Canis lupus familiaris: one gene and its partner. The protein of the gene in region 1 interacts with the protein of each later gene in a pairwise test. Links are inferred from orthologs where the notes say so. Each region holds a gene or a part of one and is shown on either strand. Other genes may lie near its edges.

What was found. The genes of interacting proteins can lie anywhere in the genome.
Region 2: the proteins of TRIM42 (region 1) and YWHAQ interact in binary tests that used the Homo sapiens proteins (3 or more experiments, as listed by UniProt). The two-hybrid records come from large-scale screens. The link is inferred for Canis lupus familiaris from reciprocal best matches to the Homo sapiens genes TRIM42 and YWHAQ.

What each region holds. Positions count from the first base shown.
Region 1 is NC_049244.1:37,247,440-37,251,284, reverse strand, and holds part of TRIM42 (tripartite motif-containing protein 42), read right to left. Parts: intron 635-3,845; coding exon 1-634.
Region 2 is NC_049238.1:6,702,214-6,706,218, forward strand, and holds the start of YWHAQ (14-3-3 protein theta), read right to left. Parts: upstream 2,801-4,005; 5' UTR 2,647-2,800; intron 2,256-2,646; 5' UTR 2,192-2,255; coding exon 1,898-2,191; intron 1-1,897. UniProt on the Homo sapiens protein: Adapter protein implicated in the regulation of a large spectrum of both general and specialized signaling pathways. Binds to a large number of partners, usually by recognition of a phosphoserine or phosphothreonine motif.

The sequences.
Region 1 (3,845 bases):
CCATAGGCTTCCAGACCCATCTTGGCCTTCTCACCACCCGTGGCATTGAAGGACAACAAGGAGGAGCTTCGCTGGTATATCTGTTGGTTGTCGAAGCTGTGAGTGCTGAAAGTAACCTTCCTGGCCATCATCATTTCTGAGTGCATGGGATAGTGGGAGGGCAAGGAGTCCCCTGAGGAGCATACCTTCTTGGGTCCTGTGGGGAAGAGCTCATGGATGGCACTGCTGAGCTCAGCAAAGTCCAGGGGCATACAGTGCAAGGAGTGTAGCCGGAGTTGCGGGTCAGGCCTATAGGTGCTCTGGATGCCATCTTCGATCTGGTCCACGAGAATCTTGGCAGACTGCAGGAACGCCACCTGGCCTGTCTCCTTCAGTGCTTCCTTGGAATAGGCGATCAGGCCATCCATTTCATTCACTTTCATGGTTGTGACGTACACATATTTTTCAATCTCCTTCTGCCTAGACACCTCCAGATTCTCTATCTGCTCCATGATGGACTTCTCCTTCTCCTGTAGAATGCTGCGCAGCTTGAGAAATCCATTTCGGATCTCTTTTCGCTTCACCTCCTTGTCAGCTTTAAAGCTGTTTTTTAAAATGTTGAACTCCATTAGGTCATTATCAATCTCATAGCGGACTGCAAAACAACCAGGTTAGTTACTTTCGTTAAAATTTTCATCTCCCCAGGTGTCAAAGCCGATGGCAGACTGGAGAAATTTCCCATGGATCACGAGAAAGTGGGCAGAGAGGGAGGGAAGCCTCTTGTAGTTGAACTGAATTAGGCTAGAACAGGTTTATGAGGTGTATCTGGCCTCCCTCAGGACCCCCCTCTCGGCCTCCTTATCTAATACTTCCCTCAGGAATAACAGCCTTTCTTTCTTGGCATAGTTATATCTAATTTCGGTGGCCCTGGGTTGAAATGGAAAGTCCAAGGCCACCCTTGATATGAATTTTTACCAGATTTCTCTTGTCACCATATTGGACTTGAGAAGAGGTGATGGTTTTCCCTATGTGAAAGGTAATAAGCTTCTTCAGGGGCAAGAGAAAGAACTAAATTTCTCACAACTTCTAAATGCTGCCTCGCCTGCCTCATTCACCAAAAACCTAGCCCTAGATAACAGGAGGAAATCAGCCGGGCTCCCTCTCTTGCCTTGCCCCCATTTCCTTCCAAGAAAGAGTCTGCTATTGCACTCAAGGAGAACCTAATTTTTCCTGTATCCTCTTATGTGGCTTTGGATTTTAGGTTCACTTAGGCATTCAACAAACATTCACTAAACACCTGTTTCATGTCACATGCCTTCCAAGGTAATAGCGATACAGATATGAATATGAAAGGGCACTGATGCTCAAGGCACTCATAAATATGATGATACTACAGTATAGAGGGTGCTAAGACAGAATGTATGTGGCACATCTCTGTGAAATGAGCACCTTTGTTGGCTTTACAGTGATTTAGGCATCAGGCAGCAACAGCTATGTGAAGACATGTCAACCTTCTGTGGCCTAAAGGTAAGATCTTATCCTGAACAGCCAACTTTGCAGTGAATTGATGGGCTATAATTCTCACCAAATTTTACTCAGGAGTAGGGGTGCCCAAGAATTATTTTGTACTTGGTTCTTAACATTGTCCCGGGTGCAGAGTAAGCTGGACTTTTGTGGGTGGTGGCCATTGGAATAATGATGTGCATTTGAGTAAGAGAAACTCAGGAATCCTTTTGGGCCATGAGAACCGGTGTGACTGCTGTCTTGGTTATCACTATGACTAGGATGTGTAGAAGGGCTTGAAAGGTATTTATTCAGTGAAAGTCAATGTGTCCTGTTTTTTAACATCTTTAGGGTAAATGTCACTCTCTGGCCTATTTTGTGAAGCTGCCGTTTCCTCTGCCCTCAAGCTGGCACAGAAGGAATGAGGAGGCGATACAGATGGGGGCTGAACAGGAAACAATCAGGTGATTGCAGAGGTGCTGAGAAGTGCTTCCTGCTCTCCCCTGATGCAAACTCTACTGTGGCTTATGGCAGCTGAAATTCAACTTTATTCATTCATTTCTTTGACTATTCAATAGTTACTCACTGCCAAAGAAACTTGTAGGAAATTCCTTGCTTTATTAGGGATTAAGTTTGTGTAAACTCCTGAGAGGTAGGATAAAAATTCCTTAGTTGAGGGGGAAAGAGGCAGCACCAAGAGAAAAGAAAGAGGAGGCCAGAAGCACTCCTCCCCCATCTTACAAATATGACAGCTTTCCAAGAGCTGGTCCTAGAGCAAAGTTAAATCAAGATCTCTTTCAGGCAATACTCTTAAAAGTAGGTATTATTTGTTAACCATTTATTATAGACCAGACCTATATGATACACATATTATGGATCACATCTCTATATTATCATATACAACACGTATCTTCCTATGAGGAAGATATTGTTCCCATTTATAGATGAGGAAACTAAGGCTCCAAGAAGTTAAGTTACTGTCCAGTGTCACACAGCTAGTAAATGGGAGAGACCAAGTCCTATCTCTAATTCTATAAGTCTGACTCCAAAGGCTATGTTTTGAATTGCTCCAGTGTGGTTCTCAGCCCTCTATGAGCTCCAAAATCCCCTGGGGAACTTTATTTTTTTATTTTAAAAATTTTATTTATTTATGAGAGAGAGAGAGAGAGGCAGAGAGGCAGAGATATAGGGAGAGGGAGAAGCAGAGGGAGAAGCAGACTCCCTATGGGGAGCCTGATGCAACACTTGATCCCAGGACCCTGGGATCACAACCTGAGCCACCCACATGCCCCTTCTAGGGAACTTTAAAGAAAACTCTTCTCTTGACCTCACTTGCTGAGATTCTGAGTTGGCCTGAGTTGGGGCTCAGGAATCCAGATGAGGCATTTTGCTGCTGCAAATTAGAATCTAATTCAAGGAATTTTGGGGGGATCTTGTTAAAAATGCAGATTCACATGAAATTAGTATGGGTGGGGCCTATGATTCTGCATGCCTAACGGGCTCCTGAGTGGTGCCATTGTTGCTGGTCCTAGTTAGCTCCCCAGGTGGTTCCAATGTGCAGCTGGGATCAACACCACAGTTCAATCAATTGACCCAAACTTGATCTTCCCTCCCAGGCCCAGAGTTTCTCAGTGTATTGTCAGATCATCTGCTTTTGAATTACCTGAAGATCTGTTTAAAATGCAGATTTATGGCACCTTCCCCAAAAGTGAATTGAGTCCTTAAGAGCAAGTTTGAACCCTGGTTACAAAAATGGGGGGGTGGGTGGGTGTGGGTAGTGGTAGTTCCCTTAGCAAGGATAGGCAGGGTTAAATTCTTTACCTACATATAAATGGATATGCCTTGAAGGTGACCCCTGTCTCCTTCCAATTGCTGGGCTCTCTGGAATTTGTACTGGTGTCCCTTTACACTGAATTGAATTTCATTGTCTGGTTCCTAGGTGCCCTGGACTCTCAGAAACTACCTTGGGTTTCTCCTGTGTTAAAAATCCAGGCTTCCTGTGGTTGCATGGGGGCCACAGCAGACTGTAGGCAGCAGTCCTTTCCCCATGCTGAGGCCCCAGAGAATCTAGCTGAGCCAAGGTAGGGAGTTAAGAAAACCTTAAGAAAACCCATTAGGAACTAAAGGGGCTACCCATTTACTTGGCAATGTGGCTCCTTTAGAGTTTCTTTAATATAGAGACTTCCCTGGTGGTGGTTCTAAAACTGAATAAATATCAATTGATAAACAGTGTCTCCTAGTAGAAGTAATTGAGAAATGAAGGTATTCCAGAAATATCTATGCTAGGGAGAGGTACTAGGTGACAGAGTTAGCAAAGTCCATCTCTGACCCATTTCTATGTCCAACAGGACCTCTGTGCAGCT
Region 2 (4,005 bases), on another chromosome or scaffold:
GGATTTCTTTATAGCCTGGCCATCAAATCTAAATTAGTTACTTAAGCAATTTTGTTAAAAAGAAAAAAAACACTTTACTTACACCCTGGTGTCTCCAACTAATCAAACTAAACTTTATTTCACTTGGTATATTAAAAAAATTGTCCTCATTTCAGGGGTTCTCTCCTATTGAAATGATCTGTATGAAAGTCTAGAATACTTAGTGTCTCTTTCAAGTCACTTGTCAACAAAGCAAAACTCTTTTCTCCTCATGCCATCATAAAAACTAAATTTCTAAGAACCATAAAATAAAACAAATATTCCTTTGACCCAGAGTTCACTTGCTTTTTGGAAAACAGGAAAAGCTCTGTGGTAATTCTGAATTGCTGCAAGGTAAGTAACAAAACGCAAAGTAATAACTGAACAGAAAGAGGATGAAACAATGCCGTGAGAGCCACCAAACTACTACACATACACACACAAAAAAACTTCTCCTTAACATATGGAATTTGTACGAGTCTTCCCTTGATAATAAAGTCTATGTTGTCAATAACCATTACCATATGCTATTTAAGTCTGCCATCACTTTCAAGTTGGGAAATTTCTTGAAGCCAAGTGGCAGCAATTCAGTTCAAAAAGCTTTCAAAGTGCCTCCTCAATGCCAGGCAGGGAGTGGAAGCTAAAGAAACCTATAAATACAACATAAAGTACACTCTCCGCATTGCCGCTTTACCTCCTATCTCCGGTAGCCATGATTCAGACCAGATCACTCATTCTTTGTATTATAAAACTACCTTCAAGAACTAAAAAAAAAAAAAAAGGAAAAGAAAAAATTTTCCTGCCGCACCTATCTGATGGGGCAGGGAAAGGAAGGTCGGGAAGGAAAGAGGCATTTTCTCTTCTATTCCTTCCTGAATAATCACCAATCTAGCATGCTTGCCTTTCAAGCCCTCCTAAAACATCAAAATTCAGTAGGCCTTTTGTAAAAGTGGTACTTAAGAATAACACTCCGGGATATGATGATAGCATTTAAAATTTAAAAACTTGTTACCGATCAAAAGATCCAATGCCATGACAAAGCTAAAAATGTTCTCACTAATAAGAGTGAATCAGAGCAGTTACCTACTCCACCCAATAGCCACCCTTGCTAAGACTGGACAGTTTGAAACCTGGAAAGCTTTCTTGCCTGCTCCAGAAACGAATTTGATTTGATACATTAGCGTTTAAGTGTAACTAAGTAATAGCAAGAAAATGTTACCAGATACTGAAATTTATCAGGACACTCTGTCCTTTAGATTTATCTGTACCTTTTTCAGCTACAGAACTAGAACTCTCGCCACCCCCTCCACTGATTTTTTTTTTTTTTTTAGTACGGAAAAGCTCCACGGATACTCTTGCTTGAAAGATGAGCTACCTGTTCAGATTTCTGAAGTACAAATTCCCGTTACTAGCTTTGCGAGGAAAACCTATTCCACGCAGAAGTGTCTCTATCGAAAAGGTGCCTGCACGTTCGTTCGAAAAGGCTGGAGCCTGCGAGCTGATGCCGCACATTTCAAGGCTTCCGAGATCTCAGCCCGCGGATGAAAATGATGTTCAGTCTTGCACAGACCTACTTGGATGTTTCAAAGTTGCACGGTTCGGGAGCAGCCCATCACCTGGGCAGAGATCTGCTTCCCCACCACCACCACCACCACCACCACCCCGCCCTGGAAAAGCAGCTTTTTGAGTCTCACGAAGCGAAACAACCACATCTCCAACCGTCCACGCGTCCGCAGACAATCAGGCAAGCCCCGGCCCACGTTTCTTTCCCCGTCCCCGTGAAATTCTCAATGAAAGGCTTTCACACACAAAAGGACCGGCTCCCGCCACCCCTTCCCTCCTGCGCAGCTCGGACGAGCGCGCACGAGCGCGGACTCACCAGCACCGTGGTGCAGATGGACCTCAGCTCGGACTCCACTTTCTCCCGATAGTCCTTAATCAGCTGCAACTTCTTGTCCGAGGTGTCGGTTTTCTGCTCGATGCTCGAGATGACCCGCCAGGCGGACCTGCGGCCCCCGACCACGTTCTTGTAGGCCACCGAGAGCAGGTTGCGCTCCTCGTTGGACAGCTCGGCGCCCTGCTCCGTCACGGCCTTCATGCAGGTGGCCATGTCGTCGTAGCGCTCGGCCTGCTCGGCCAGCTTCGCCTTCTGGATCAGCTCCGTCTTCTCCATGGGGACGCGGAGAGGAGAGCGAGGGCGAGCACCGACCCGGATCGCGAGGAGGCGTGCGGACGGCCTGCGGGCGGAGAGGCGGGGGCGGCGCCCTCAGACAATGCGCCCGCCGCCCCGGGCCGCCCGCCCCGCCGCCCCTTTTGTCCGTCCCCGCACGCGCCGCCCAGTTGAATTTCCCTCCCCCGCCCACGCTCCCCGCCGGCGCCCGGGAGGCCGAGGGGCGCCCCCCGCGGAGGCGGAGGCGGCCCGCGCGGCTCGGGGGTGGGGGGAGGCAGGGCCGCGCCCGCGCCCGCGCCCGCCCGGCCCAAGATGGAAGCGGCCGTTGGCCCACACCTTGCCGCCAGAGCCGACCCGAGGAGCGCGGCGTCGAGGCCGCCCACTCTCGCGGGGCCGGCCTCCCGCCCTGCCCTCGGGCCCGGCCACCGGGGACGACCCGGGGCGACCGCGGCGCTCACCTTCACGTCTCCGCGGCCGCGGCGCGAGTCCCACCACTTTGATCCGCTTTGGGCTTTAGCCGAGGACCCTCCCGTCTCAGCCTACCCCGGAGCCGAGGGGCGGGGCGCCGCGCCGCGGCCCTCGCTCCTGTCGCCCAATGACGCGCCGAGCTGCTCCCGGGAGTCCCGCCTCCGGCTCCGCGGCTGGCCAATGAAGGCTGAGCGCGCGGAAGGGGGCAAAGAGGGCGGGGCGGGAGGGGAAGCGGAGGCTAGGAGGGTGGGTCGGCTTGGGCAAGTTCGGTTGGCCGGCAGGCTGCGGCTTCGGCCACGGGGTTTCCTCCAATTAGATCCAGGGTAAAAGGACGTCACTGTTGCCATGGCGATGCTGTTACCAACTCCCCTCAGCCTCCCCGCCACCCCCAGCGCTTGTGGGTGCGGCACGGGAGCGGGAGGTTCGCACCACCTCTGCCGCCGTAGCAGCGTCTCCTGCTGCAGCAGCGCTGCAGATCGTGCATTGCATCTAGTGCGTTGCACCTAGCGGGCTAATGCAGCCGCGGCTCCACTCGGCCCTGGCGGGGAGGACCCGCGAGGCTGACCTAAGCGGCTCTTTGGTTGCACAAGCCCCTTTCTTTCCTCCACCTTCCCATTCGTGACAAAGGTTTGGAGCTCCAGACGCTGAACGCAGCCTTTAATGACGTTGCGATTGGAGCTGCGAATTAGAAATAATCCCATCCCCGTTAAAGAGGAATTTGTTCCAGGAGAAAGTCGCTTAAGAATGTGTCTTCGTGATCAACTCGAGTTTTCAGGCGGGCACCCAAAACCTAAAATTCTCTTGTAAAACCCCCAAGAAAGTCCAGGCAGGTCTCTCGGGCAATGGCCAGATATTCTAATTTTATTCTGACAGTCAGGATGTTTTGGAGAAAAACACACATTCAACACCCCTCCCCGCCCAAAGCAGCTGTTGTTATATCTCTTCCTCGTCTTTGCAGGTTATGCATCTAAATACATGTTTTTTCCATCTCGTTTTATGTGTATATGGGTTTTGTTTTCTAGTATTATTTTTCAGAGCACACGTGAAAACCTAAACTTGTCTCCCTCGATGTTCACTTTTGACTTTCTCCTGGACTTTCTGCTGTTCACACTCTTGAGAAGTGAGAAAGTTTGCCCCAGATGCTTTGTATTGGGGTCATCTCTAGCACTTTCTTTCCTCTTTAAAACTAGGCACACCCCTCCAGCCACTCCCTTCTCTCCTGGCACTTTGCCAGTGCCTGGCACATAAGGTAGCCCGTCCTGGGTGTCTGGGAAGAGGCCTCTGTGCCATCCTAAGATGAAAATTGCCATCTGGGCTCACACTGCTACGATTCCAGTTCTAGCACGTCT